4 linked regions of the Drosophila melanogaster genome follow. The protein of the gene in region 1 interacts with the protein of each later gene in a pairwise test. Each region holds a gene or a part of one and is shown on either strand. Other genes may lie near its edges. The genes, in order: Elal, Pka-R1, TwdlL and Rox8.

Evidence for each region.
Region 2: the proteins of Elal (region 1) and Pka-R1 interact in a two-hybrid assay, tested with the Drosophila melanogaster proteins (one large-scale study listed by BioGRID).
Region 3: the proteins of Elal (region 1) and TwdlL interact in a two-hybrid assay, tested with the Drosophila melanogaster proteins (one large-scale study listed by BioGRID).
Region 4: the proteins of Elal (region 1) and Rox8 interact in a two-hybrid assay, tested with the Drosophila melanogaster proteins (one large-scale study listed by BioGRID).

The regions. Positions count from the first base shown.
Region 1 is NT_033777.3:24,862,021-24,869,133, reverse strand, and holds Elal (Elastin-like), read right to left. Parts: upstream 3,785-7,113; 5' UTR 3,765-3,784; coding exon 3,290-3,764; intron 3,123-3,289; coding exon 2,608-3,122; 3' UTR 1,483-2,607; downstream 1-1,482. Other genes in the region: CycB3 (cyclin B3), read left to right, coding at 1-333; Srg1 (Sting-regulated gene 1), read left to right, coding at 4,428-4,856; CG7016 (uncharacterized protein), read right to left, coding at 5,065-6,153; CG13640 (uncharacterized protein), read left to right, coding at 7,003-7,113.
Region 2 is NT_037436.4:20,817,453-20,824,733, reverse strand, and holds the start of Pka-R1 (protein kinase, cAMP-dependent, regulatory subunit type 1), read right to left. Parts: upstream 5,770-7,281; 5' UTR 5,700-5,769; coding exon 5,265-5,699; intron 4,404-5,264; exon of another isoform or gene 4,011-4,403; coding exon of another isoform or gene 4,008-4,010; intron 1-4,007. Other genes in the region: Mst77F (Male-specific transcript 77F), read left to right, coding at 6,856-7,137, 7,200-7,281.
Region 3 is NT_033777.3:26,622,748-26,628,676, reverse strand, and holds TwdlL (TweedleL), read left to right. Parts: upstream 1-3,024; 5' UTR 3,025-3,074; coding exon 3,075-3,089; exon of another isoform or gene 3,090-3,153; coding exon 3,154-3,996; 3' UTR 3,997-4,090; downstream 4,091-5,929. Other genes in the region: TwdlK (TweedleK), read left to right, coding at 1-713; TwdlO (TweedleO), read left to right, coding at 1,980-2,669; TwdlB (TweedleB), read left to right, coding at 5,181-5,195, 5,264-5,929.
Region 4 is NT_033777.3:24,039,787-24,050,254, forward strand, and holds Rox8 (Rox8), read right to left. Parts: upstream 8,480-10,468; 5' UTR 8,327-8,479; exon of another isoform or gene 8,004-8,326; intron 7,936-8,003; exon of another isoform or gene 7,713-7,935; intron 7,583-7,712; exon of another isoform or gene 7,402-7,582; intron 7,227-7,401; exon of another isoform or gene 7,152-7,226; intron 6,706-7,151; 5' UTR 5,880-6,705; coding exon 5,652-5,879; intron 5,481-5,651; coding exon 4,572-5,480; intron 4,505-4,571; coding exon 4,411-4,504; intron 4,360-4,410; coding exon 4,178-4,359; 3' UTR 3,270-4,177; downstream 1-3,269. Other genes in the region: spas (spastin), read left to right, coding at 125-310, 520-686, 782-1,034, 1,093-1,838; CG5986 (uncharacterized protein), read left to right, coding at 8,546-8,641, 8,700-9,302; Atg6 (Autophagy-related 6), read right to left, coding at 9,473-9,578, 9,633-10,468.

The sequences.
Region 1 (7,113 bases):
CTCATGGATTACGCCAATATTTCGTTCAGTGACTCGCAGATGGCTTCGGCCGCACTGTTCATGGCACTGCGTATGCACGGCGGTCCGGGGCAGCTGGACAAGCAGACGTGGACATCGACGCTTATCTACTACACCGGCTATCAATTGGCGGACTTTGCTGAAATTGTGACCGCGCTCAATGCAGGACTGCATCGCAAGCCACGGGCCACCATCAAGACGATACGGAACAAGTACTCGCACAAAATATTCCACGAGGTGGCCAAGGTGCCGCTGCTGACGAACCAGGAGCTCTTCCAGGGCAACCTTGACCTGAACGAAAGCAATCTGTCGTAGGACAGCCTCAAAGTTTAGCCAAATTCAACATGATACGATACGCTTCACTTAGGCTCTAAGACGCTTCTATTCCCAATATTAGCCCCATCCCGACGAAACAGCGGATCCCCGCCTTAATCTAAAAACCCCTGATTTTACCCCTTACCTAGTGTTCCCGTCAAGTCCTCGCAATTTATTATATTTTAATTATTATTGTGACCTTCGCATTATTGACATGTTTTTTGCATAAATATTATGTTAAGAGTGCTTTTGTTTCTTTTTGCCATGTATTATTGTTTAATTTTCCCACATACCGCATACGTAGCCGAACACAATCAATCTAAACTCGAAAGGCGACATTATCTTTAGCACCCCCACCCAAAAAATCCCAAAACGATTCATGTTTTAATATGTACGTTAGTCTTAAGAGATGCCAGCATTAAATAAACCTAACTCGTAAGCCACCAAAGCAGACACGGATCCCCACTAACTTATTCTACACAGATACACAAACGCAAGGATACGAAGCGACTATGAAAGGCACGTGTGTCCCGTACAACCTGGAAATGCGCTGCGATCAACCCTCGTCCCGTGCACGCCATGTACGCCATGTGCATCTGTTCCTGTCGTCGTTATTAATGCTGTTATTTGTTAAGTCGTTCATGGACTCCCCTCCTTGCGCTCACATTCCCGCCCCTCGAAGGACGCTCACCATCAACTTCCCAGTTCCTGATCATACCGCCCCGCCCCGCCCTGCCTCAGTTCACCTCGTTTATCCATGGATGGTTGATAACGTTGCATTGTTGAAGTAACTAGTTATGTATGTACTCAGTGTTATGTATGTATCGTTTTGCGAGAGAATACCAATAAACATTTTTACGTCCGTTCAAAAATACTTCAATCTTTTTACCATCATTACATTCGGAAAACGGTGGGCGAAGTGAAAAAATTCTTACTTTTAATAGGGTAAGTGCAATAAATTCGTATTTTTATTTTTCTTTCTAGAAAACTCTTTTAAAAACCTGATGGAAGTTTCAAAATCGGGTGAGTATTAACTCAGATATAACTAGTTGAATGCAATTGTAGTATCATTAGTGTTTATGTTTACTTTAAATAAGTATTTTAAATTAGCTGTCTTTATCCAGCATGTTGGAAATGATCCTAGTTCCTAGGGGATTAAATAATTTAGGGCATTATTTTCAATTTCCTAGAATCTGGAATGTATGTATTTGTTGCAGTTCAATCTTTAATTGTTAGAAACAGAGCATAAACTCCTAGATGTCAAAGGTTAAGGGAAAACGTTTAGCACATCTAGACTTCTTTGCCGTGAGTATACCCATTACCCCACCCATTCTAATTCCTTTGTTTCGAATCCTCTCAGCTGAATCTGTGCTCCTTTCTCCGCGCTCATCATAGAACAGCTGATGGCTGATGACCTAAGGACATCAAACCCTGGCTGGAATCGGTTCGATTTGCTACAGGTAAAAACCACCGATACCGTCCGTCCAAATCATTCATAATCCATGAGTGTAAGTGTCTGTCTGTATACTCGTAGTCTGTATACCCCGGGCATGATTCTCTCGAGTTTCCTGCGGTTCCTTGCTTTTGGCGCGCTCGTCCGTCATTTTAGCGCCAAAAATTTGTTAAGGATTTGCGCGGCAGGCTGCGCATGCGCCGCAAGACATCAAGACGTCGTCCCTTGGTTGGGTTCCTTTCCTTTCCTTCGGCCCTCTCTTTTCCGCTGCACAGCGAAACCCAGCCGATTTATGTCGCTGCAGTTGGGTCCAGCGAAGGGCACCAGGAGTACCAATACCAGTAACAGCGTCTCTCTCTGACGCTGATTTTCTACCACCACCTTTGGCTCGCCCAGAGTCCTGCCTTTGTGCGTTCCCTTTTTTTCGGCTGCCTGCCAGCCAGGTAGCTCCTGTCGTCTTCGATTGTGTCCACGCCGGATAAAAGAAGCGGCATTGCCATAAGAATAAGGAAAAGAATAAGGATGGGATGTGAATGTCTTGGGTTAGCTGTCTGTATGGGAGCAGAATGCCGAGTGCATGTGCTTTATTTTTTCCGGTTCAAGGTGCAACTGGTAACTGGCCAGCATTGCTAATTATCTTGGTTGGGTGTGCAGAAATCAAGTTTATTTCGCAGGGACACACAGGATGATAGGCAAAGACAGCTGCCTCTGGCCAAGGAGGCAGCAGCGAAGTTATGACTACGACTCGGATTACTTCACGCCCCACCAACACCATTACCACTACCACCACCACCGAGGTCCACCCATGATGTCGGCCAGCTTCAGTAGGCCGGCGAGTTGAAGGCACCGTTGTATCCGCCCCCATATCCACTGCCATAGCCAAAGGCATTGTGATTGTTCAGCACTCCAAATGGTCCCTTGTGGACGCCATCCTCCTTGTACTCGGTGTTCATCGAGAAATGATGGTCCCAATGGCTCGGATCAGCGGGATTGTGAGCCGGATAGCGATGATAGTTCATGCCGCTGGTGGCAGGAGCCTGACCAGCTGCTCCGGGCACTCCTGCCACTCCAGGTGCTCCCGGAACTCCAGCTACTCCAGGAACTCCTGGTTGAGCCACAGCTCCGGGTAGCACTCCATAGGCGGGGAACTGGGCTGGTTGAGGGTACGCTGGGTACTGTGGCAAGTATACTCCGGGGTAGGGATAGCCAGGATAGGCACCAGTTCCCGGGAAGTAACCAGGTGCTCCTGCACCCACTGGCTGCTGGGGAGGAACTCCCACCGGATACTGAGCAGGAACTGCTCCAGCAACAGGATAGCCAGGAGGAGAAACAGCACCTAAAAAGGGGACATTTCATTAATATCATAATTTCATATATATTTCAAAATGTGGATTTGCTATTCACCAATCTTTTAAATTTTGTATAACTTTTTTGGGAGTTAAGACTTGATATTAGTTTTCTGATTTCACTAAGATAAATGAACCACCTATTAGAAGGACCTACCTGCACTTTGGTAACCACCGGATGATGAGGATCCTCCTGAAGAGCCTCCTGCAGCTGGGTACGGAACTGGAGCCTGTTGTCCAGGAAAACCCGGAGGCGGATAAGCGGGAATCTGGTGACCTCCTGTAATTGTGAGTGCCGGATTTGGTGACTGGTTGCCAGGAAAAACAACGGAGTTCGTACTGGCCACTCGTACGCCAGAGCCACCCTGCTCATGGCCATGGGCATCGTCGATGGATCCAGTTGCGCCCGCATAACCCGATCCCAGCTGACCAAGGCCAGGATAAAGTTGCGAATTGAGATTGGCCCGCTGGCGATGGCGACTGCTGGTAATGCCTCCCGTCAGAGTGGAGGCCAGGTTAAACTCCGTCTTCTGATCCTCCTGACTTTCGTCCCTGCTGAATTGCGAGGCCTGACCGCTGGCTATCTGGATGAGGGCCAGAGCGGCGAATGCGATGACCCTCCTGCTTAACATGGCGTCTTTGGGTACACTAAAGCCCAGAAGCTCACGGCGCGTGTATTTCATGGTGAGATCTGATGACACGAGAGCTTAGCTGAGTGTCTATTTTTGGGGTTATCATCAGGGGCTCAATGCCCAGATATGTAGTTTAAGTCTCATTGAGTGTTCTTTCTAGTAAATTGAATGAGAGAGTCTACACTGAAAGCAAAAGTTGAAAATATAACACAACAATGTGCATATGCATAGATACTAGCCATAAATTTGAACAAATAAATGAATTTTTTAAAGAAATACCCATATACAAATTTATAAATATAAATGTTATATATAAATTTCTTGCAATGTATAAATTTGCGGCCTAAAGCCAAGTAATAGATAAGTTGAGACGCATTTTTGGTTTAGGGATTTCCCAAGCAATTCATAACTCATCTTTGCATAGATGATGATCATGAGTTATGATCCTCCCTTTATATAGAGAACGAAAGCTTTCCCAGTCAACCTTGTTTACCAGTCAATAGATTAGTATTATAAGTACATATGTACATATAGCATTTGTTCCATTACCCAAGGTTCTTCCACTCGATTCCATTCATCTTTCTTATCGCCATGTGCTGCTGCTGGCTATAAAAGCCGCATGGACATTGGGACTATCAGCAAAATTGCTCTACATATCCCAAGATGCAGTTGTTGGCTGCGATTCTAGTGCTAATCCTGGCCAGCTTGGCCCACGGTAGACCCACTTTCGATAAGATTGCGGAGCTTCTGTTCGGCGACCCAAATCATTATCCGCCAGCAAGGCCAGTTGATCCACAGCTACATCCTGGACCAGGTCCACTCATCCAGGAGGGCTACGAGCAGGGCTACGACTATCACTATGGTGGAGGCTACGGCTACGGTGGTAGCCACCAGCAGACGCATCCAGGTGGCTATGCCTATTACCCACCACGACCGGTTCCGGCAGCAAATGACTACTATCCACCACCTTGGTCAGTGCGTCCTTCGCCTGGATACTACTCTCAGCCGTCTCATCCTGCCAGTGTCCATTATCCGCACAAGAATCAGGATCTTTACGGAGGTGGAGGTGGTTACAAGCAGCGGGGTTACTAACGTTCATCCGTCAGATACCCCAGTCTCATCCAATCATGTGCTGTCTCATTTGTTTATGTGTAATTTATTAAAATTTCGTTTATTTCCAACGAGCTTTTAGAACCTGTTTTGAACTTATGACAAAGACGATCTCGGGTGGAGCAATTGAACAATGGTCTACGAATATATATACAACAAGTGTGAATCGGGGAACTCCCTCTTAGAAGATTCATCTTCGTCTCACATCAATGGGAATTGAGGGAACCTCCGGGTTTGGCACATGGATATATTTGCTAGAGCTGGGGAATATAATAGCACGATTTTCGGAGAGTTCGTCCAATGGTTTTGGCAATGGCTCCGGCACGATCCAAGTGGGAAAAGTGGGCGTGGGTGGATCCGGATTATGGGGCGGCACCAACGGCGGTCGATTGGTTCCTATTATGAGCGTATCCTTCGTTGGCTGAGCGGTTGGACGTGGCTGGATCGTGGGAAAGGTGGGCTCTGGCTTAGGTGTTGTCGTTGGAAAGATGGGTCCTGGTATTGGCGTTTGTGGAGTGGTGCTAGACTCATTATCTGGATTCCAATTCGTGTTTGGATCATTGGGATCCGGCTGATCGGGGAGGCGTGGATAGTTATCCCATTCCTGTTCCATCCCTCCATTCCAGCCTGGCCTTGGTGGCGGAGGTCCTCCGCCATTCCATCCTGGCCTTGGTGGCGGTGGCCCTCCTCCATTCCAGCCTGGCATCGGTGGTGGTGGCCCGCCGCCGTTCCATCCTGGTCTTGGCGGCGGTGGTCCGCCGCCGTTAAAACCTGGTCTTGGTGGAGGTCCTCTTCCACCGCCTCCGTTCCATCCTGGACCATTCCATCCTGGTCCTTGCCCTCCACCTCCATTCCAGCCTGGTGCAAATCCTGTTTGAACCCAGTCAAATCCGGGTTGATTCTGATTTCCACCGGCTCCCCACTGCCAGCCGGGTGGCCAGCCAGGAGGCGTCGGTTGCTGACGGTTGGGTGGTGCAAATCCTGGTCTGTGCATTCCTCCTCGATTCGGACCCATCCCCGGCCTTCCTTGCTGCAGTCTCTCGAACTGCGGCTGCTGGTTGAAGCGGTTGTTGTTGTGCATGGCATTGATCAGTCCATTGATAACTCCGAAACCGGGCAGCTGGGCCACCACAGTGACGCCACCGGCGGAGGCAACAGCTCCGCCGGCGGAGGACGAGGAGACTGCAAATTGCGCGAGACACGTGCGTATCCAGATGGATGCCAAAAGCCAGACGAGCCAGGCCTGGCCAGCACACCAAGCTGGCGAAGATCGCGTCATGTTCGGGTGTTCGAGCAGTGATCACCACAAAAGGCGGACTCTAACTGAGGGGGAACTTTTACGCTCCGCCTATGCGATAATCGTTGATGCTTGATTAAACATTGAAAACCTGTCCGGCGATCAGTGAGAGCATGATGAAAATCAGTGTCCGCAACCAGAGAGATCTTAACCGCTCTCCAAAATAGGTCTCAGAGAGATGATCATAATAATAATCAGACGAAAAGTAAACAAACACCTGAAGCTTGAAAACAAAAATTGAGATACATATATAGTATGTAGTATACAGATTGAAGTATAAAAGAATAAGAGATACAGGCGATGAAAGAGATACTTCAAGTGATGAAAAATCCATAATAGAGGAATAAATGGAAGGGACTTACTAGTAGTATCCGTCCAGTCTTTACAGATCTCTGTATGTTAGTGTTATATTTTAATTAATTCAAATTCTTATTTGAAGTACACTCATACGATCTCAGCAGTGTGTATTTATATGGAAGTTTATATAATGGTTGGGGTATGAGATGTCCGTTGTATACTGACCATCTACCATCTGCGATAGCTCAGTCTTCCAGCGGATGAAGCGTGCTCCGCATGCTGATCGTGCCAATCCGCGTGCTATAATAAATCCAGCATAATGCATTAAGTCGCTTGCCCATTGGCCACGCTAATCTTCCAGAGATTCCGACTGTGTTTATGGGAATAAGAAGTCGTAAAAAAAAAGAATTGAAATGAGCTAGACCACAATGTGTCACCATCACAATGTGCCCAACTCCAATCCACAAGGGTATAAATAGAGGGAACTGCGTAGATGAACTGTCAGAACTGGAAGTGATTCGAAATCGAAGCAAGATGAGATCCCGCGATTCCCGATTGACTATCCTAACATTGCTGATTGCGTGCTGCCTGGATTCGAGTGGCGCTCTGTTCTTCAAGTCCTGGAAGACGGGAAAAGGATATACT
Region 2 (7,281 bases), on another chromosome or scaffold:
AAGAAGCTGGGGTCGGAAAAATCGAATTTTTGAAATTTGAAAGCTGGAATCGTTTGCCCATTTTTTGCCCATGTTTGCCCACCAATTAGTTTTTTTTGCCCACGTCCAGTTTTTGAGATATGAATTTTCGAAAAAGTTCGAAAATTTTCGAAAATCAAAAATTTCGCTTTTTTCAAAATTTTTTTTTTTAAATCGCAATAACATCGTTTGCCCACGTTTGCCCACCCTTTAGAATTTTGAAAAAATTTATACTTTAGAAAATATAAGGCTTTTAAGTTTACCTCGGTCTAATCAGAGAGTAAATCGTTTGCCCATCTCTTAAAACCAAATATTATCAACAAAAAACGTTTGCCCAACCATTATTATTAGTTTTTATCGTTTGCCCACCCTTTAAAAAACCTTTAACAAAAATTTGTTTTCGATTGCCCACACTTGAAATACAACCAATTTCGTTAGCCCACCTCTTCAAAATAAATATTTCCAATAAAAAACGTTTTCCCACCATTTAAAAATAAATAATTTCGATTGCCCACCTTTTAAAACTAAATAATTTCGTTTGCCCATCCTTTAAAATTCATTTTTAACGTTTGCCCACCCTTTAAAAATAAATTATTTCGTTTGCCCACCCTTTAAAATTTGTTTTTTTCGTTTGCCCACTCTTAAAACTAAATAATTTCGATTGCCCACCTTTTAAAACTAAATAATTTCGTTTGCCCATCCTAAAATCTTAAGAATAAATAAATTCTATTGCCCACCATATAAACACGTGCCACTTTCCTAGTTTTAGGATCTGCCTACATAACACGTGCAGACGCACAGGTGTTTCTGGGTTTATATAGACCAAAAATTGGTTCCGATTGCCAATCTTGTAATTTACAGTTTACCAGGTAATTACATAATTTTCAAACCTCACTTTATGATAGGGTCCAATTTTTTACCTGTGACAAAGTGTTAAATTTTTTATGAATGGGTTTTTCATGGCAGGTCAGAATCCTCTATAAAATCTAAAACACTTGTCGGTATTTGAAAATCGCTCTCCTCCTTGATACTCATATTAGGTGTAAAAGATAAATCCGGAACTCATAATTAAAATATTTTTTATGTGAAAAAGTTGTGCGCGATTTTAACTACGCTTACCCAGTGCTGGAAAAGTTAAAGTTGTTTTGTTTTTCAAAGAAAGTGAAAGTTGCTAAGCACGAACTTAAGAAATCTGAGTGATTGTGTTAAATTTATTTGAATCCTTGTGAATTTTGTTGACAGTCTTTTTAAAGACTTGCAAAATTTCCATATTATTCGGTTCTTGCTTTTATTTTTATACAACGCGTTTTTCCTTTAGGCATACCTTTATACATTTACAGTGTAAACAACAGTGTAAAACGTGTAAATCAGTGCAAAATAGTTTTTTTTTATTTACTCCATAAAAAATAAGTGTTACTGTCAGGATGCCGGCCAAACCGCAAGTCGATGGTCACACCTTAGTGGATGCATTTTGCTGCGCGAATATTTTTACGGAGACTGGAGCTCTTAAGCCAAGAAGCGATAAAGTTTGGATGGATATAAGCAACCAATTGAAAGGAGCGATCAGCGCGAAGACGCTTAATTTCTATGCCAGAATCAATAGGAATAACATGATAACTGTGGTTAAAGAACGATGTGGAATTCAACAGCTGGATACTAGTGCCAATTTAACTTTAAATAGCCTAGACCCTATCATAAAGGGTGGGCAAACGAAATAATTTATTTTTAAAGGGTGGGCAAACGTTAAAAATGAATTTTAAAGGATGGGCAAACGAAATTATTTAGTTTTAAAAGGTGGGCAATCGAAATTATTTAGTTTTAAGAGTGGGCAAACGAAAAAAACAAATTTTAAAGGGTGGGCAAACGAAATAATTTATTTTTAAAGGGTGGGCAAACGTTAAAAATGAATTTTAAAGGATGGGCAAACGAAATTATTTAGTTTTAAAAGGTGGGCAATCGAAATTATTTAGTTTTAAGAGTGGGCAAACGAAAAAAACAAATTTTAAAGGGTGGGCAAACGAAATAATTTATTTTTAAAGGGTGGGCAAACGTTAAAAATGAATTTTAAAGGATGGGCAAACGAAATTATTTAGTTTTAAAAGGTGGGCAATCGAAATTATTTAGTTTTAAGAGTGGGCAAACGAAAAAAACAAATTTTAAAGGGTGGGCAAACGTTAAAAATGAATTTTAAAGGATGGGCAAACGAAATTATTTAGTTTTAAAAGGTGGGCAATCGAAATTATTTAGTTTTAAGAGTGGGCAAACGAAAAAAACAAATTTTAAAGGGTGGGCAAACGAAATAATTTATTTTTAAAGGGTGGGCAAACGTTAAAAATGAATTTTAAAGGATGGGCATACGAAATTATTTAGTTTTAAAAGGTGGGCAATCGAAATTATTTAGTTTTAAGAGTGGGCAAACGAAAAAAACAAATTTTAAAGGGTGGGCAAACGAAATAATTTATTTTTAAAGGGTGGGCAAACGTTAAAAATGAATTTTAAAGGATGGGCAAACGAAATTATTTAGTTTTAAAAGGAGGGCAATCGAAATTATTTAGTTTTAAGAGTGGGCAAACTAAAAAAACAAATTTTAAAGGGTGGGCAAACGAAATAATTTATTTTTAAAGGGTGGGCAAACGTTAAAAATGAATTTTAAAGGATGGGCAAACGAAATTATTTAGTTTTAAAAGGTGGGCAATCGAAATTATTTAGTTTTAAGAGTGGGCAAACGAAAAAAACAAATTTTAAAGGGTGGGCAAACGAAATAATTTATTTTTAAAGGGTGGGCAAACGTTAAAAATGAATTTTAAAGGATGGGCAAACGAAATTATTTAGTTTTAAAGAGCGCAGGGCAATCGAAATTATTTATTTTTAAATGGTGGGCAAACGTTTTTTATTGGAAATTTTTATTTTAAAGAGGTGGGCTAACGAAATTGGGTGTATTTTAAATGTGGGCAATCGAAAAAAAATTTTTGTTAAAGGTTTTTTAAAGGGTGGGCAAACGATAAAAACTAATAATAATGGTTGGGCAAACCTTTTTTGTTGATAATATTTGGTTTTAAGAGATGGGCAAACGATTTACTCTCTGATTAGACCGAGGTAAACTTAAAAGCCTTATATTTTCTAAAGTATAAATTTTTTCAAAATTCTAAAGGGTGGGCAAACGTGGGCAAACGATGTTATTGCGATTTAAAAAAAAAAATTTTGAAAAAAGCGAAATTTTTGATTTTCGAAAATTTTCGAACTTTTTCGAAAATTCATATCTCAAAAACTGGACGTGGGCAAAAAAAACTAATTGGTGGGCAAACATGGGCAAAAAATGGGCAAACGATTCCAGCTTTCAAATTTCAAAAATTCGATTTTTCCGACCCCAGCTTCTTTGAGCTCATAAATTGCTTTCATCGGACCCACTTAAAAATATCACAGAAATCGTTTTAATGCGATGCGAGTGCATAAAAAGGAAATAAAAGGTAGTAAAATAACAATTTAATCAAGTAAACAGAGCATAATTCGAGGCCATATTTCGGGGAAATTTTTCATTGGAATTGTATGTTAAATGCTTTGCGTTCTGGAAGGAAACAAACAGATTGGATAGAATACGAGTGTTGATTTCATTTAAAATTGTTGATTTTCATTAAAAAAAAATGTTGTCAATTTGTTTTTCCTCAAGGAGACTATTTATATAGCTTGGAAGAAAAATGTATCCAGTTATACCTTGATGGCAATTCGATAATCGGAAAGTAATATTACTATTAACAACTTTGAGTTCTAATAAATATCTAAAAATGAGAATTGTATACCTTTCAATGGGATAATATAGAAATATGAAGGAACGGAAGAAGAATGAATACTTGAATGTTAAAGATTAAGGATTCTTAAGCGTTAATGCAATGGGACCCTTTCTCTTCCTCACTATAAAAACGCTATTGAAACCAATTCTTTCCGAAATATTTACCAAGTTAACCGTATTTAACACTTCGAATTTTACCCACCATTTCGCTGGTCGAGTTCCTGTCACTTCCGCTTTGGCACTTTTCCAACCTCGTTTGGCCAACACAATTGATTGTTGTTTGTCTGTACTTTATGGCGGACACTGGGGACAAAGTGTCCGGCGTAGTTTTTGGCACGATTCCGCTGTTAATCAGAAGCCGGCGTAAACAGCGCCGGACGGAGCGATGACAGCCGTAAAAGCGGCATTAACACGACCGTTAAACCGGACAATTCGATGATCGGAGCAGCGGAATTCGCGTGGCCATCAATCAGGCAAGAAAGTCGAAAAGTAACGACCGCAAAAGGTGAATGGTAACTAGTAAATTGAGCAGTTAAGTTGGCGAAAAAACTAAAATTGGGAACAACGATGGGCAACTGACGGTGGCCAAAAAGTGACTGAGACAAACGAAAGGACGAAAGCAAACTCTAGCAGCCAGACACAAACACAATCTCGACGACGACAGGATGACCTTCACCAACACGCCCAGCGAAGGCAACCTTTCTATATATACACAAATATATACATACAAATACGACTGGCCAAAAAGTAAAGTTTTTCGCACACCCGCCCACCACCTCACACACATACACTCGCACTTGTGACGCAAGTCCTGGCAAAGGGAAAAGCTTTTACGGGAGAAAAGGGCCAGAAGTGCTAAAGGGAAAGCGAAGGGAGCGCTTTGATTTCGTTAGAATTCCCTTCGAGTTTCAAGTGCAAACTCGACATTTTGTCGCAAAAAGCAGCTCGTGGGGCATTATGAAATGCACTTTCTTTAAATTAGTATATAGTTTAGGTTACTATATTCTACTGTATCCCAAAAATTAACCCCTTTCCATTTACCTTTTTGCAAAAAATAAATTTATAATGTTTAAATAAAATGTGAACATTTTCTTCCTGTTCGTTCTTTTTCTTCAGATACGAAAGATATTTTGAAAGAATTAAAAGGCCTTAACGTAAAACATAGCAAACTTTTTCATATTTTATTAAATTTTTATATTCTAAGTAGGGTATTAGGTGCTCGCGGAATAAGGTAAACATTTTTTTGCATGTTTTTATTTGTGTTAGAACTAACGACATCGTGATTTGTAGTCACAAATCGAATCAACAAGACACCAATTTCAAACGATTCAAAGCTTTCTAGTATGCGCACACTCCCACACTTTAAATCTTTTTTCCGCCAAAAGCTTTTCAGCACAAATTCCTAGTGATTTCCTACTGTTTTCCGGAAATTGGAAACTTTTCCGACTTTCCAACTTACTTCGCGTTCCCGCTGGCGCTCAAGCTCAAGTTCCTGTTCACGTTCGCGGGCCAGAGTGGAGAGATGAATCTGCAGGCTGCGATCGCTGACGGCATCCTCCTCGGGAATTGTGGTGCAGGAGGTGCGAACATGCCGCATGCGATGCACTGCATCCAAGCTCAGCCGATGTTCGTGATCATCGCGGAGCAGAGCATCGAACATGGCCACCCCGCCATCGATGCTACTTTCGCGCAGGATGCGTCCGCCGCGTCCACTGCAATGGGGACTCTGCTGCTGATTCTGCTGATGCTGATGATGATGGTGGGTGGTGGCCACCACGCCCTCCGAAAACGAACGGATGCGCATGGCGCCGTTGGCATCGGTGGTCAAAGCCACCGAGCGGAAGCGATCGATGACCGCATCCTGGATGCTGTTCACACTCAACTGGTTGCCCATGGCGCGCGGAGGCAAACAAATAAAAAGCAAACGAACGGAGTGAACTAGGTGGAAGCAGGATGCTTCTGCACGGCGTCAGGATGCTAATCCAACTGACAGCGGGTCCGGCATTCAACAGGCAACTTGCCCCAGAGAGTCCGGCGCACACACACAGGCGTACTCAAAATCAAAGTTGGGAGAAAAAGGGGTAAGGAAAGTCGCTTGGCAAGTGAGAGGGGGAACAGGACGATGTGGAAAGGACCTCCACAGGTGCGCTGCTCTATTTACATTGCAGCATTGCAAGCTTTTGCTGCAGCCTGTCTCACAAAATAAACTTTAAAGCTTCACAATGAACAGAGGGAATACAGTTCTCCGAAGCAGGAAGCCGAAAATAAAGCATCCGTGCTGGGAAATCCACCTATGGATGGGTTTTTTTTTTAACAATCCGCTCGAAAATAGACCGCAAGTTGTATTGATTTTCGTTTAAGCGGCAGCATTAACCAGCAAAATGCCGCTTGTTGCTTACCAAGTGGTTGAAACCCCGGAAAGGAACGTAGTCGCACAGGATAATTTAAACACCTTCCCTCACCAACGACATTTCTGGTATTTCTTACATATTTTGTTCAGATTATAATATAACATTTAGTATTGCTTTTGTAAAATATTTGTTCATTTCATTTCATTGAAAACAAGGAAGTACGCTATTCTATTTCGTGAATATCAGATACGCGTTACTCAGCTAGTCGGATTGCAAACAGAATATTAAAACCTTTTTCAAGACACACGGACGGACGAATATGGCCAGCTCGACTGATACTGATCAAGAAACATTAAACATTTTCTCCTACAATATCTTGAACGAATATAGTATACAAAAATAACCATGGAAATATGGCGCCGATCTGCGAAATGTACTTTGAAAACAGCCAACTTGGTTTGAAAAAAGGAACTTTTTCTTGATCATAGTAGAATTGAGCCTTCATTCAAATCCAATTTCCAGGTCTCCACGCTGAAGCCAGCATACAAACAGTTAGTACACTACCTTTGAACGAGGAACAACTAAAATATTTCGATAAAATTGAGTACAGTTTTTTATACATATATAATTTTTTTTTGTATAATTCTGAGTAACAAATTTGTTTGTGAAAATTTCTGTCGAGCAAGAATTGGTTGCAAAATGAGTAATCTGAAACAAAAGGATAGCAAGCCGGAGGTGGCAGTAACAAAATCAGTGAAAACCTATAAAAAATCAATTGAATATGTTAATTCCGACGCCTCCGACATTGAAGAAGATATCAATAGGGCAGAGGACGAATACGCCTCATCGTCTGGCTTTGTTAATTTTCTGAGGGACTTTAAGAAGCGCTACGGAGAATATTACTCGAATAACGAGATAAGACGGGCTGCTGAAACCCGATGGAACGAAATGTCATTCCGTCATCGATGCCAGTATTCTGCGGTAAGTTAGGTGTCGAATACAAACGAAATGCACATGTATGCAATCGTAATGCACTTCCGCAGGAACCATTGGACACTTTTCATGTAGAGCCCAACAGTGTGAGCAGTCTTCAGCGTTCTAGTGAGGGCGAGCACAGAATGCACT
Region 3 (5,929 bases), 1.8 Mb from region 1:
CCTTGGCCACGGCCGATAAACTTGGCTACAATTACCAACCGGTGGCCCACTCTCCCTCCGGATTGAGCTTCCAGCCATCTGGATCGGCCAGCAGCGATGCACCCGCTTTCGCGCCTGCTCCTAGTGCATCCTTTGCCCCCGGTCCCTCATCCATTGCTGATGCCCTGGAAGGATCTCAATCTGCTGCTGCTCCCAACTACGCTGCTCCTCAGGCCCAACTCGAGAAGGAATTCTTCACTTACACCGCCGACGAGGGTGACTTCTACGACCCATCTGCTTCCGACCGTGTTGCCAACGCCGTGAACAAGGGACTCCGCGTGGTCTTCATCAAGGGACCCGAGAACAGCGGTCTGGAGGATGCCGCTCTGGCTCTGGCCAAGCAGGCTGCCCAGCAGGAGACCGCCATCTATGTCCTGAACAAGCAGGCTGATATCGGTGATCTGGCCAACAAGCTGAACTCCATCCGCAACAACAACAACAACAAGCCCGAGGTGCACTTCGTCAAGTACCGCACTCCCGAGGATGCTGCCAACGCCCAGAGTGCCATTCAGGGTCAGTACGATCAGTTGGGAGGATCCAGTCAGTCCCAGAATGGAGGTGTTGCCTCTACCCTGAACTTCGCCTCCCAGCCGGCTCCACGCGAGAGCACCGCTGCCAGTGCTCCAGGACCAAGCTACCTGCCCGCCAACATCTTCCGTCGCTTCCGTGTTTAAGTGCCATTTACAGGATGTTGATTTTGTTGCCTAGTTATCATGTTGTCTTATTCCATAAATAAAAAAAAATAATTGTTGTAATCTGATTTGATTTTTTTGGGCGATTCCGTAAACAGAACACTTAAGACGGATTTTTAGCCGAAACAAATCCAAACAACTTATTGTATTTTACACTTTATTTTCCTACATATATATTCATTAATATATATATATTCATATTTTCATTCATTTGAAAAAAAAAATGTTTTGGATGAAAAAAACTTAAATGCTTATTTTATGAACGCCTCTGAATGAATGACACATGAACACATCAGTTGAACTCCAACTGAAGAAAATTTATAGTTTTCAAAAATAAGGAAAATAAAATTTAACGTTAAAACCCTTCACTTTCATTCGCTTAGCTTAAGATGACAAAACACTATCAAACGATTATTTTGTATGGATTACAGAAAAGTATCAGCAGAACTTTTGATGATGATATCCTTCTATCCAAACACAGCATTTTTCATATTGTTTGATTGCTTGTACGTTCTTCTTCTCCGTTTAAATGAGATTTTAAACTGACTGGACGCAAATATTCTGGCTCTTATATACGGGACTTGTATGGAATTCCCAGACTATTTAAAACAGGTTTGCCCAGAGTTCAAAGCAAGCTTCCGACATTCTTTTTGACTTTGAACCTCAAACTAAAAAGTCACTTCAAATTCTAGACCCACTTTCGATAGCAAAAAAGGCGACAAACAGAAAGCAACAACAAACCATTAACTATCAATGGAGTTCGCATAGATTAAGATTTTATCGTTTCGTAGGCGGAACTCAAAGAATGCATCACATTGTGTTCGACTTTAATGACCATCAGAACATTTTTGGACGGGCTCTGACTTTTTTTTTGGAAACGGGTTTGATAGTTTTGCAGCATTTTCCCCAATCGAATTCCGGGCAGTTTTGCCCCGGTCAAGAATAAATCGCGGCGCCATGAACCGGTCGAGAATTTGGCTTTTGCAATTGGGCAGAAAGTCGGGGGTCGCCGACTGGATGTATTGGCGAGAATTTTAGGATAGTTTGCATAATCATTTCATAAGCGCACCGCTTTGCATAAAAAACTAGTTGAGTTATGTAGCAACCCGACGGGAATGGTGTCGGTTATAGTTCTAAGTCGGTTCTAACTACGCCAGATGGGTATATAAGCTGCTCACCTCAGTCTCAGGATTCAGTCTTGGCCTTTGCCTGTTAAGCACACCCAGCCTACAAAACCAAACCTTCACCATGCGTTTCCTCATCGCTTTCTGCCTGATTGGTGCCGCATGCGCCCAGTACAACTACGGAGCGGGATTTACCGGAGCCGCCTCCGATAATGTTCCCAGTTACTCCGGAAGCAGTGTTGGCGACTCCTACGATGGTGCTGCCAGCAGCCCGGACTACTCGGTCTCCAGCGAACTGAACAAGGAGTACTACACCTTCGAGGCTGACGAGAGCCAGTTCGAGGATCCTCTGGCCGCCCAGAAGATCGCCGGCTCCGTGAACAAGGGACTCCGCGTGGTCTTCATCAAGGGACCCGAAAACCGTGGCCTGGAGAACGCTGCTCTGGCCCTCGCCAAGCAGGCTGCCGAGCAGAGGACCGCCATCTATGTCTTGAACAAGCAGACCGACATTGGAGATCTGGCCCAGAAATTCAATGCCGCCCGCCAGAACTCCAACCAGCGTCCTGAGGTGCACTTCGTCAAGTACAGGACTCCCGAGGATGCGGCCAATGCCCAGCGTGCCATCCAGTCGCAGTACGATAACCTGGGAGGATCCAGCCAGTCCATCAACGGAGGAGTTGCCAACGCCATCAACTTCGCCTCCGCTGCCCCCGTGGTTCCCGCTCGTCGTGGCCCCAACTACTCCCCACCAGCCGCCGCCACGAGCAACTCCTACCTGCCCGCCAACATCCTGCGTCGCCTGCGCATCCGTTAAGGACCGAACGAAAACCGACAGTTGTTAAATGTGTTGTATAAATGTAATTGAATAAAAAACGAAAATCGATAAAAACAAATACGCTTAGATTTATATATCTATTTTTAATCTAGATCTTCGAAGTTTCTGACTTTGTCATCGGCCATTGCAATTTGTTTGTTTTTTAATAGCTTTTCCTTATAATAACATTTATGCAAAGCTGAATTGCTCTGCGAGCCCGAACAAAAGCCGTTCGCTGCCTACTTTGTAGGCGGACAAAACATTTAGCAGCATCAGCGCTTTGTCTTCGAAAAACTGCGCCGCCAGCTTCGAAGTTGGGTTAGTATATATAGTTACCGCCGCCGTGGTCATAGGCAGAAGCAATTTGTGCTCCGAACCAAGAGAACCTCAAACCCAAAACTAAAGATGCGCGCCTTCATCGTAAGTGGTGTAGCCAGGACTTAAGACGAATTCACAACTAACGGATAACCCTTGAATCCTGTAGGTAATGTGCCTGGTGGCAGTCGCCTGCGCCGATAAGCTCGGCTACAACTACCAGCCCGTGGGACACTCCAGCTCCGGACTGTCCTTTGCTCCTGGAAGTGGCAGCATTGGAGGTGGATCCATTGGAGGTGGTTCGATTGGAGGAGGCTCCATTGGAGGAGGATCCATTGGAGGAGGCCTCATTGGTGGTGGCTCTATCGGAGGCGGTTCCATTGGAGGTGGTTCCCTTGGTGGTTCCATCGGTGGTGGCTCTATTGATTCCGGTCTTGGCGGTCTTGGTGGACTCGGTGGTCTAGGAGGTGGCGACGCTCTGGCCGCTCCAGTCTCCTACAACGCCCCCGCTCCCGCTGCTGAGCTCCAGAAGGAGTTCTTCACCTACTCCGCCAACGAGCAGGACTTCGATGAGCCACAAGAACTGGAGCGTGTTGCTGGATCCGTAAACAAGGGACTGCGCGTTGTCTTCATCAAGGGACCCGAGAACCGTGGTCTGGAGAACGCTGCCCTAGCCCTCGCCAAGCAGGCTGCCCAGCAGGAGACCGCCATCTATGTCCTGAACAAGCAGGCCGATATTGGAGATCTTGCCCAGAAACTGAACGCCATCCGCAACAACAATAACAACAAGCCCGAGGTGCACTTCGTCAAGTACCGCACTCCCGAGGATGCTGCCAACGCCCAGCGCGCCATCCAGTCGCAGTACGACCAATTGGGAGGATCCTCTCAGGCCCACAACGGTGGTGTGGCACCCGCCCTGAACTTCGCCTCCGCTGGTCCCGTCCAGAAGGCTAATGCTCAGATCCCTGAGAACGCTTACCTGCCCACTTCCATCTTCCGTCGTCGTTTGTAAATATTTTAACGACTTCGAGATGAAGGCGTTGACTGTTCTTGTTAAATCTTATTGTTGAAATCTATTGATAAATAATATACAAAAATCTGAATACAAACATTCTATGATATTTTATATTGGATGGTGGTGTAGTAAACAATAGTGTATACCTTCCGATGACAACATGAGTGGAGTTACAAGTTGGGCTTTTAGAAAATTATTTCAGTCTTTGGTGAGATTTTTCGACCTGTTTTTATTGCACAAAAAGTTTGGTAATGACTTTTAATTTGAATTTATTCTTAAAAAGGTGCAACGCTATTAACTTAATACAAAGCAAAAGACCTTTAAAACTCATTAAGAATTTGGTAAGCTATATTACCCAAGGCAGCTTCCCGATGACCTTGACGTTTAATATTTGTCATAACCAAAATATTATCCTACGAAGTACTGGGAAAAGAATAAAATAAAATATTTCCGCATATTTTAAATGTAGGCAAAATGTTTTTACGACAAAAAAGTTAAATTAAATATAAACATATCGTTTTCACCACTCTCAAGTTAAATTTTTTATTTCATTAGTAATATATGCGAAAATAAAGAATCAATGAACTGGGGGCGGCATTTCAAACATCTCATTAGACGACTTGCTAAATTTAGCGCTTGCATCATGTCCATAAATCAGAACTAAACAGATGTGTCGAAAACGATTATAATGACTAAACGATTGTCATTCAGTCGGAAAAACCAAGTGCAGATGTCCTACATAAAACAAGCTTTTAGCCTTGCCGAAGAATTTGTCAAAAAAATGTATTTTATATAATACTCGTACCTAATTATGACCCATCTGCATGTTAAACTCATTCCGACGTGCTCGCGACATATTAATTTTATAATTCAATATGAATTCTTGTAAACTATTGGACGAAACTCGAAATATTTGAATAACCCACGACGGCCAGACTCTGCCCATTGAAACGCAACCAAAAAATTCCACACCGAACATTAAAAAAAACAGAGGAAGCAAAAACCTTTGTAGGCGGCAAAACACAGTGGCTTCAAAGAAATCTCCGTGCAGCAGACGCCGCGGCGGTATCTTTGTCTTTATCAGCCTCCAAGATGGATTTGTATAAATAATAAAGATCGCTCCTAGCCAGAGACACAAGCAACTCATACCTCAAAGCAAAAGAACCAGCAATCTGCTTAAGATGCGCGCATTCATTGTAAGTAGCGCGGTTAAGGATTCAAAGGATTATACGCCAGGATAACACTTCTCTTTTCATGCCTCCAGGTCCTGTGTTTGGTGGCAGTCACCTGCGCCGATAAGCTCGGCTACAACTACCAGCCCGTTGGCCACTCCAGCTCCGGACTGTCCTTCGCTCCTGGCAGCGGCTCTATCAGTGGTGGATCTATTGGAGGAGGCTCCATCGGAGGAGGTTCTATTGGAGGAGGCTCTATTGGAGGAGGCCTCATTGGTGGTGGCTCTATCGGAGGAGGAAGCATCGGAGGTGGATCCCTTGGTGGTTCCATCGGTGGTGGCTCCATCGATTCCGGTCTTGGCGGTCTTGGTGGACTCGGTGGTCTAGGAGGTGGCGACGCTCTGGCCGCTCCAGTCTCCTACAACGCCCCCGCTCCCGCTGCTGAGCTCCAGAAGGAATTCTTCACCTACTCCGCCAACGAGCAGGACTTCGATGAGCCACAAGAACTGGAGCGTGTTGCTGGATCCGTAAACAAGGGACTGCGCGTTGTCTTCATCAAGGGACCCGAGAACCGTGGTCTGGAGAACGCTGCCCTGGCCCTCGCCAAGCAGGCTGCCCAGCAGGAGACCGCCATCTATGTCCTGAACAAGCAGGCTGATATTGGAGATCTTGCCCAGAAACTGAACGCCATCCGCAACAACAACAACAACAAGCCCGAGGTGCACTTCGTCAAGTACCGCACTCCCGAGGATGCTGCC
Region 4 (10,468 bases), 820 kb from region 1:
CTATACCCCTAAAACATAGGATTTGTTTACCTCATTTTTTTTTTATTTCATTTTGCACGTTTTCCCCTGCTTTTTTGTTGTCCCCTCCGTTTTGTCCATATGCACATGTTCATCCGGTGCGCAGCTCTGCGTGAGCAGGATTTGCAAATGCAGCGCCTCTCCTTAAAGGAGAAGCAGAAAGAAGAGGCTCAAAGCAAGCCGCAGAAGACCAGGGAGCCCATGCTGGCAGGAATGACCAACGAACCAATGAAACTAAGGGTGCGCAGCAGTGGCTATGGGCCCAAGGCCACCACCAGTGCCCAACCCACTGGTAAGTTCCTCACCAGCTAACGCGCACCCAACAAGATCCTCACACGCCAGCGCAAAGCCACCATAAGCAGATCGATTAGTCAATCCCTATCACCTCACTTGGCACTTGATTTTCTTAGAATTTTTTATTTCGATTGGCCAAATTGTAAACTTGTAAAAGAGTATATTCTTCCGCATTATCCATCTCTGATTGTGCTAATTCGTTCACAGCATCTGGCCGCAAACTGACAATTGGATCCAAACGACCCGTCAACTTGGCCGTGGCCAACAAATCACAAACGCTGCCCCGCAACCTTGGCTCCAAAACATCTGTAGGCGCAGTCCAAAGGCAACCAGCCAAGACAGCTGCAACGCCTCCCGCCGTTCGGCGACAATTTGTGAGTATCTGATAAGTAAACTAAATTTGTTTTTACACATTTGGCAAATACTCAGAAATTAAAATACTAATTAAACTAAATTACTCATATTACAGTCTTCGGGGCGTAATACGCCGCCCCAGCGTTCGCGGACTCCCATAAACAACAACGGACCCAGTGGCAGTGGCGCCAGCACTCCGGTGGTTAGTGTGAAGGGAGTGGAACAGAAGCTGGTGCAACTTATACTCGACGAGATCGTCGAGGGTGGGGCCAAAGTGGAGTGGACTGACATTGCCGGTCAGGATGTGGCCAAGCAGGCTCTACAGGAAATGGTCATTCTACCCTCCGTCCGACCGGAACTCTTTACGGGTGAGTTGGTTATTCTGCGACTAGAACCGTCACCATAACCAATCTTCTTCCTTTTTAGGGCTTCGTGCACCGGCTAAGGGTTTATTGCTGTTTGGTCCTCCCGGAAATGGCAAGACACTGCTGGCCCGCGCCGTGGCTACTGAGTGTAGTGCCACCTTCCTGAACATTTCGGCTGCCTCGCTGACCAGCAAGTACGTGGGGGATGGCGAGAAACTGGTGAGGGCTCTCTTCGCCGTGGCCCGTCACATGCAGCCCTCCATTATTTTCATCGACGAGGTGGACTCGTTGCTTTCAGAGCGAAGCAGCAGCGAGCATGAAGCATCGCGTCGCCTAAAGACCGAGTTTCTAGTGGAGTTCGATGGGCTGCCTGGAAATCCAGACGGAGACAGGATCGTGGTGCTGGCCGCCACCAATCGACCGCAGGAATTGGACGAGGCAGCCCTGCGTCGGTTCACAAAGCGCGTTTACGTCTCACTGCCCGACGAGCAAACCCGCGAGCTGCTCCTCAATCGACTGCTCCAGAAGCAAGGCAGTCCGTTGGATACCGAGGCGTTGCGTCGCCTTGCAAAGATAACAGACGGATACTCGGGCTCCGACTTAACGGCACTGGCCAAGGACGCCGCATTGGAGCCCATTCGAGAGTTGAATGTGGAGCAAGTGAAGTGTCTGGACATCAGTGCAATGCGTGCAATCACAGAGCAGGACTTTCACAGTTCGCTCAAGCGCATCAGGCGCTCGGTGGCGCCGCAAAGCCTCAACTCATATGAGAAGTGGTCGCAAGATTATGGCGACATCACCATCTAGTCTGTTCTAGCCAATGATCCTGCCCTCCTTCATCAATCCAATTTGGAGAAGCTGTGATGTGAGTCTCAGAGCGCAACCCATTGTCGTTACACTAGTTTTGATTATGTGACCCATGTTTTTCGCCCTTAAGGTTCTATTCAATCCGTAGACTTTTCGTTTCACAAACATTGTTACATTTGTATTTACCTGTGAGTTATTTAATATGATTTGTTTCCCAGCTATTTCTGGTGTTTTAGCCTAAGAACATTGTATTGTATTTTTTCGTTGTTTAACCACCATGTCCATGTGGTGCAACATTTGCCATGCAGCTCCATTATCGTTATACTCATACTCATGGTATATATTTCTAAGATCTGTACTTTTCATTGGAGTTCTTAGAATAGTAGGTTTGCCCTATCTTCGTTTATGATAGTAATTCAAGGCCACATTGCTTTATAAATTAGTTTTTTGAAACATTCCGTAGTGATTTTTTGTAAGACAGGCGGCCCAAGGAGTTCACAACTACTTCCATTGTATCCTTGAACTATAAAGCATATTTTTGTTGTACATTGAGTGCCCATCCACAAGCTACATGTAATCTAGAAGTAAGCGTAGACCTAAGACCGATGATATACTTATACACACCCACAAAGATACATTTACCAGCGCAGAATCGTATTTAAGTTTTAATAGTTATCACTGTCCGTATGGTTAGTCTAGTTTAGTTCCTTTGTTTCAATCTATGTACCTACAGCCATAAATACAATCGTCTCCGATTCACCTATATTATTAGTAACACACCCAAAAATGTTGTACCTAGCAGGTGCGTATGGATCTGGTGTTATCAGATCGATCAGATACATCTTCACCCGCGCACATGCCCGTCGCTTATCGCGACACATTGAACCAGCTTCAACGCAGCTCGCCCACCCGGAATTTGAGTTCTTTGACTAGTTACTAAACACAGATACAAAAAAAAACTACATGCATATAAAACTATATATATAAAGAAATCTATAGAATACGCTAAATAAAATCGATTTCAAGAAACATCAATTGCATTCTTAATCATCAACAAAATTCTAAGCTATTGGAAACCATTGGTAGTGTATTGAGAATTGAGCAACGGCTGACATCACCAGGTGCATTTAAATTAAGAGAAAGTAAGCAGAAGAATTAAGCATTCATGAAAACTAGTTTCGCAGAAAAACTGCGTCTCACTAGAGAATATTAAAGCTATAAAATTCATTCATGTATGTATGTTATACCTTAAGAAAACTTTTTAGCACAATTGTAAAAGTTAATTACTTTTTAACTATATTTTAGACTCCGCTGAATCCTCCACCAGATTTGTAGTAGTAGTAACCACTTCTATCATCAATGATATAAATTAAAGTTTGAAATAATAATTCCACATCCTAATTCATTACCTCAATATAAAAACCAGCGTCCCTTCGTTTTCTCACTTGTTTTATATATTTTTTTGCTTCTTTATTTTACATTTTACATATTTATATCGCATTTCGTTTTCCACATTGGAAATATACAATATGTATGCTCGAATTTACATTCTCTTAGTGACTAAATTTGTTTTTCCTCTTGTTTTTGCATTCGGCTTGCTTGCTTGCGGCTATCCTTTCATCCCACTGAAACTACCCTCTTTCCGTCTTCAGTTTTCGTTGACACATGTTCCACATAGTTACAATTACAATTTGCTTTGTCACGTTTTTGTTTCGATTGTTTTCTTTTTGTTTTAACTCTGTCGCGCGTAATTAGCATTTTCTCTTTTCAGTTTTTATTTGTTTGTTTTTGTTGAATTTCTCATTCGGTTTATTTTATTTCCGTTTCGTTTATACGCCTATATCTGCTTAAATTAGAAATCATTAAATTAATTTAACACGTACTTAGATTGGATTAGATTGTTACAGCTACCCGCCCATCGCCCGGAGCTTTTCAATTGATGTTCTTTCAGTTGTCGCCGGCGTGGATCACTTGAAGTTGAGCTCCACGCACCGCCTTAACGTTCGACTTTGGGGGGCTATATACCACACCCGATTCCGCTTCCTTCCACCGCAGTCAGCCGCAACCGTAGCCACAACTTCAAAGTGGACACTCGCGCATCCTTAATAATCTCCAGATACATTGCCACCGTCAATGTGGCTGCTGCCGCTGGTCAACGGCATGGCCAGGAGCGGCTCCGACTTTGCTACTACTCGGTATTGTACGTAACCTAAACGTGCGTAATGCGCTTGCAACTGCTGCAGGTGCGGAAGCTGATGCAGCAGAGGTGGTTGTGGCTGCGGCTGGGGGCGACTTCCCGGATGCTGCAAACGGCGTCGAAGCTGGCGTCACATCTCAGCTCATTGGGTCTGGTATTGTGGCATCGCAGCACTGTACATCATTTGGGGGGCAAGTGATCCGTTCGCTGCAGCGGCCGCGGATGCTGCGGCAGCCGTCACACCGGGCACCACAGTTCCGGGCACGCCCCATGCTACATTCGGCGGCACCATGCGGTATCCAGCCGCTGAAAATTGTATGCAAGCTGTTTAAGCCAAGGTCACGATTATTCAGCAACTGAGAAAAGTAAACTTACGGACTCCTCCCGCTTGCTGAGCACTGGTAGGGTAGGCGTAGGGATAGTAGCCCTGCTGCATGTATTGCGTCTGCATCTGGGTTGTGGGATAAGTCTGCAGAAAAGCACAAAGTTAGGGTCAATCTTTAGGTCACTGCGTATTTAAAGAATACAACACTTACCGCAGGTGGATACCAGTAGCCCATCTGCTGGTACGCGTATGGATACTGCGCCGCAATCTGCTGGGGTGTCATCATTTGGCCGGGTATCGCCGCTCCTGTTGCGGCGGCGATCTGTTGCTGCGTCATCATCTGACCGGGCATACCCGCTCCAGCGGCAACCGCAGCATTGGCTGCCGCAACGGCGGCAACATTGGCAGAGGCTGCTGCCGCGGCAGCGGCGGCATTGAGGTTATTGGCCGAGTTATCGCCTCCGTTCTCTTTGCCCCAGAAGCACTTTACCAGGTTTCCATGTACCTCGCTGTTGTGCGTGTGCTCGATGGCGTGGGCGGCTGCCTCCTTGGTAACAAACTTGATGAACGAGAAGCCCTTGTCCTTGAAGACCCGCACGTCCTGGATGGGACCAAACTGGACGAAGTGCTTGTGCATCAGGTCGTCACTGATGACATTCGGCGGGAATCCGCCACAGTATACGGTGGTGTTGGTGGGGCTCGACTGGTTATACACTTCCTCGAAGGTGTGGCGTTGACTTCCCTTTACACCGGACCCATTGCCCGGTCCGCCACCCATTCCGCCTCCCTGGCCTCCGCCCTTGGAAGGCTCGCGTGGTGGTGGCAGCTTGCGCGTGGACCAGTTGGTGCGTATCGAGCGCGAGCCAATCCACTGGCCGTTCATCGCCTGGATGGCGTTCTCTGCCTCCGCCTTTTTCACAAACGACACGAAGGCGTAACCCTTTGACTTCATGGTGTGAGGGTCGCGCACAATGCGACAGTTGGAGATCTCTCCGAATGGGGCGAAAGCCTCGCGCAGTGTTTCTGTCTCAATCTCGGGACTGAGGTCGCCCACGAATATGTGGTGGTGCGAACTGATGTCTGTCTTCGGCTGATTGCCGGGACTGGTGGCCCAGTTGACCTGCGAAGAGCATTCGTTTAATAGGTAATAATCAATTAAGTTCTACATAATTAAAATAACATGAGGGCTTGGTCGTGGGGAATGTGTGTGTTGCAAGAGTGTAGTTTCGAACAAAATGAATGAAAATGACCGCTGTCCACTTGATAACTTAAGAGAAGCTAATCAGCTTACCTTGATTTCCTTTTCGAGGAATAGGCGTTTATTCATGGCGGTCAGAGCTGTTGTGGCTGCCTGGTAGTTGGAATATTCGATGAAGGCATATGGATCGTTGCCCGGTTCCCGAATGATTTTGCAGCTTTTGACGGGCCCCATGGTGCTGAAGAGGGCAATTAGCAGGTCCTCGGACACTGAGCTATCCAGGTTGCCCACGTATAGGGTCTTCGGTTGCGACTCGTCCATGGCTGTCGGATGTCACGGGACTGTGGCTTTTTTGATCTGATTATACACTAGGCTACAGCGACAATCTACTGACTCTACACTAAAACCGGAATTGCAACTACTGCACCTGGCCGCATTAATCGGAAGGGGATGTATCAAAAATTTGCAGATTAAGTTCCTAGCTACGTACAAAATCTAAAGTGTCTGCTAATTAAACAGGTGTATTTGCGGCAATCTAATTGGTGCTAGCTGCTAACAGGAAACTCCAAGAGAGATTTGAATACTTTGATTTTCTACTACTTTCGACTTACTCTCGGCTTGGCTTGATTTTTTTGGATTATATAAACTTTATATGCTCAATCTAGGTAGGTTGATCTATTTGCTTAACGCTGAGGTTCGTCGTTTATTGCTTTATTTTGTTCCTAATCTGGCGCCTAATTGAAAATTTCGTTAAACATCTATATGTATACGTATAAATATATCTGTCCTAACTAAACGCTAATGGAGTGTTTTGGAATATACGATTAGTCGCCTAATATATATGTCTATAATCGGTTGACTTCCTTTCCTGGGGGCCTGGGATTTGGATTCGGGGTTTCTTGGTGTACACTACTTGGTATTTCAGAATTGCTCGATCCTTCTTCGATGATCCGGATGTTGTTGTTGTGATTATAAATAGTTGTCCGTTCCAATATACAGGATTGTATAAATGTACATATGAATACTTGGTTGCGACTACTTATTCTTGCTCTTGTACAAAAATTAGTTAGCTAAGTTAAACAGCGTGAAAGTTCGCAGGCTGAGTGTACTTTTCGGGTTTCGAAGCTGACCCCTGGAATCGTTGCTGCTGTAAAAGAGAGAGGTAAATTTGGGTTAGTTTTGCGCTGATAACCGGAAGAGTGGGACAAGGTCTAATGGCACATGATCGGTGGGCCTTAAAACAGGCGCAAATGATATGGATATAAATCGACTACCCCGCCCCGCCCCCTTTTCGCATGATGGGAACAAAGAAGGCGGCAAAGCAGTGCAGGGACACGCACACACAGACGCACGCTCACACACACTGGCGCACACGAAAAACACGGGGAGAGTGAGTGAGCTATCTTCGGAGCGAGAGAGGCGGGTGGGAAAGGACAGGGGAAAGAGACTGCCTGTCTTTATAACAAAGCGAATGGCCAACAATTGACAATAGCCATTCATTCGCAACAAATTTGCGGGCCTTGCAAAATGATTTAGTTTATAATTAATATATTTCTGTATTCACATTTACAAATTTTTTTTTGGGCCACTCACGCACAGCACACAGAAATGCACACTCAGGCACGCCAGCGAGACGAGGGCGAAAGGAGAACGACGAAAATCGACTAGAAGATGAATGACCGTCGATAACAAAATGAGGAGAAAGAAAAACAGGGAAAAGGAAGAGAAAGATGTGGGAAATTTTGCGAAACCGGCGGGCGGGTGACACACACGGTTGCATTAGATTCGTGTTCTTCTTCTTCACACTTTGCGAAATCAAATTTTAATTTGCATAGAACTAAACTTGATTTTGATTATTTCTGCGGCGGCGGCGCTAGAAAATGTCAGTCAAAGTCACAGAACTGAAGAGACGGCGAAAAGGGAATGGCGGGGTGGTTTTGGTTGCTCATTTGCTGCTTATTTTCTTCGTCTCTTTTTCGCACACACACTGACACATTAGCACCGACACGCACACACACACACGCAGAGAGAGGCGTCTTGCGCTGGTCTTTTTGTTTGCGTTTTCCTCACATGAGTCTCCACTTTTCTTTTGCTTTTGCTTTTTTCCGCTTTTGGCTATTGAGTGTATTTAAACTAATGCCAATATACCAATACCAAGACGATTTGAATGCGGGACTTTTCATTTGCCTTTTCAGCTTGCCGCTATATGTACGTATATGTATGTATCTTGTTCGCTTTTGTGCTGCCATCTTTTAATGCCGCTCCCCCGCCACCAACAACCGCCACGCCTCCGCCCCGACCCTGCTGCCTGACAGCGGTGCCGAAAACTGGGCTTAACAATTATCGTCCCCGCCGCACTATAGTGCATTCGCTTAATGTCCATTGTTCAGACTCGAATTTCGCTGTCAAAATTCGCACTCTCTTCTTTTTTCTTTAATGCGCTCTCTGTGACGTGGCTGCGTTTGTAAATTTACCGCATTTTACTTGCTCTGCACTCTGTTCGCACACTTCATTTGACGGTCAAGTTTAGCCGCTACCGGTTTGTATTAATTTTGCGAAACTTTCAAAGTTGTTAGGGGCTGCAAATGTACGTTGAACGCGTCGCTAAAATTTTACCTTCGTCGTCTAAAATGCGAACTAATTAATGAGATTTTGTGTGCGAGAGCCAGGGCTGCCAACTTGCTGAGAAATAAAAACGCAATGGCGGCAAGATGGGAAATGCAATAAAGAGTATGGACTTGACAAGATTTTTTTATAAAATTACTTACGTAGGGGTATTTAATGGAAATTCAGCGATAATATGACAAGGATCACACATTAATTCGCGACTTTAAGTTATTTGAAGCAACGTTATCGAAAAGGGGGCAACCCTAGGGCAGGCGATAACGCTTGCATCACCGCTTTCTCTCTCTAACACACTCACCGCGGGCGCAAATGCAGCACAAAGCAGACTAGAAATAACAATCGTTATCGAAAAGGTCGTCGAAATGGGCATAAATATTTTTATAAACAGTAAATATATAATTTCTTGTGGAGATCACGTTAAATGTGATGAGCTTTACAGTCGGATTGCGGAGAAAACAGTGAGTATGTTATGTATAATTTTCATAAGATTTTGCAATGTGGCCCTTTTTTTTACAGAACCTGCAACCAGGGGAATACTACTTAGTCAGCAATGGCAAGCGCTTGGAGGGAGAAATTTCATCTGGAGATGTTCACTGCGTTCTCCGCCAGCTCGGTGGCAAAGGAGGATTTGGTTCCATGCTTCGAGCCATTGGTGCGCAAATTGAAAAGACAACCAATCGCGAGGCTTGCCGCGATCTAAGTGGTCGCCGTTTGCGGGATATCAACGAGGAGAAGCGGGTGCGCGCCTGGCTGGAGAAGCAGGGCGAACGGGAACGGGAGGCCGAGGAGCGTAAAAAGCGAAAAATCGAGAAACTGCTGGCCGTGCCCAAGCACGACTTTAAGGACGATAAGTACGAGGAAGCCAGGGCTAATCTGACCGAGAAGGTAAACGACGCCTTCGAGGAGGGACTCAAGCAGGCCGAGGAGAACAAGGAGAAAGGCGTCGAGGAAGCAACTTCCAGTGGCACAAAGAGGAAATCCCCCGCCGTAGACAAGACCAAGGCAAAAAAGAAGAAAAAGGGCACACTCTGGATAGACGATGACATCTCTGGATCCGACTCTGACTCTGACGACAGCGAGGAGGAGCCAAAAACACAGAAAAAAGCTATACAAAACTAGATAAATAACTTTTGAATTAAGTATGTACCAAAGACGTTCTTATTTCAAAATTTACCTGAAATAAACATAACAATATAAATACTTCTCATTTAAAATTTGAAAGATTTAGATTTAATACTATGGGGATAATTAAGTAATTTATAAATATACATTTAAAAGAGAAAGAAAAATCACGGTGACACAAACTGTGAAGAAACCCAGGCCAATCCCCATTTCAGGTTGGTTAGCATGAATTTCAGTGCCTTGGTCCACTGCTCCTCCGAGTTAAACTGGATTCTGTAAGGAAACCATCATTATTATAGGTAAAATCTTTACCATTTCTAAACCTACTTAATAGAATAGGAATTTCCCGTGGAGGGATCGATGATCTTGCCCTTCTCCATCTTGTAGGGCAGCAGGAACTCGGTGTCGCGCTTCTCGACCTCCTTCTGGAACTGGGTAAGACAGTCGAGAAAAGCTACCATGGCAGCATCAAACTTGGTGTCCCAGAAAAACTTAAATCCGCCGCTGCCATAAAGCGGGAGCTCTCGATTCTCGCCGAGCACCTCAACATACGAATGATTTCCAAAGGGTACTACACGATACCGCTCGAAGGTGAGCCCTATCTTACGAGCAAGCGCAGAGAGCAGAAGCACCGTCTGGCCCCAAGCGGCGTTGATCTCTGACCAGTCCACGGATACAGAGGGCAATCGACCCAGCCTAAAGTTATTAATGGTACCGAAATGCCCGGCATGCCAGATGTGAAAGGTGATGTTGAATATGTTGGTGTCGCGCAGTTTGTCCAGCTGCTGTTTCGAGTAGGCGATCTGACACTCCAGACTTCGTTTGTCATCCTCGGTGAGCATTAGCTCACGCCTGTGCTTGGTATACTCGCGCCAGTAGCTTTCCTCCTGCTCGTGCAGCTCCTCTCGCTCCTGTTCCTCCTCGGCAATGGCATCATTTAGCGATTGTTCCTCCTTTTTGAGCTCTTTTAGCTCCGACAGAAGCTGTTGCTCGCTGCGCTTTAGTTCGTCGAGCTCCTTGTCCAGGGCCTCAACGTTGGGTGCTACACGCTGTTGCTCTAGTTCATCCAAATAAGCCTTGTACACATCCCACTCGTCCTCAGCGATGCGCAGTTCCCTGTCCATGATTTCCAGCATGGAGTCGGCACACTCTTCGCACAGCGG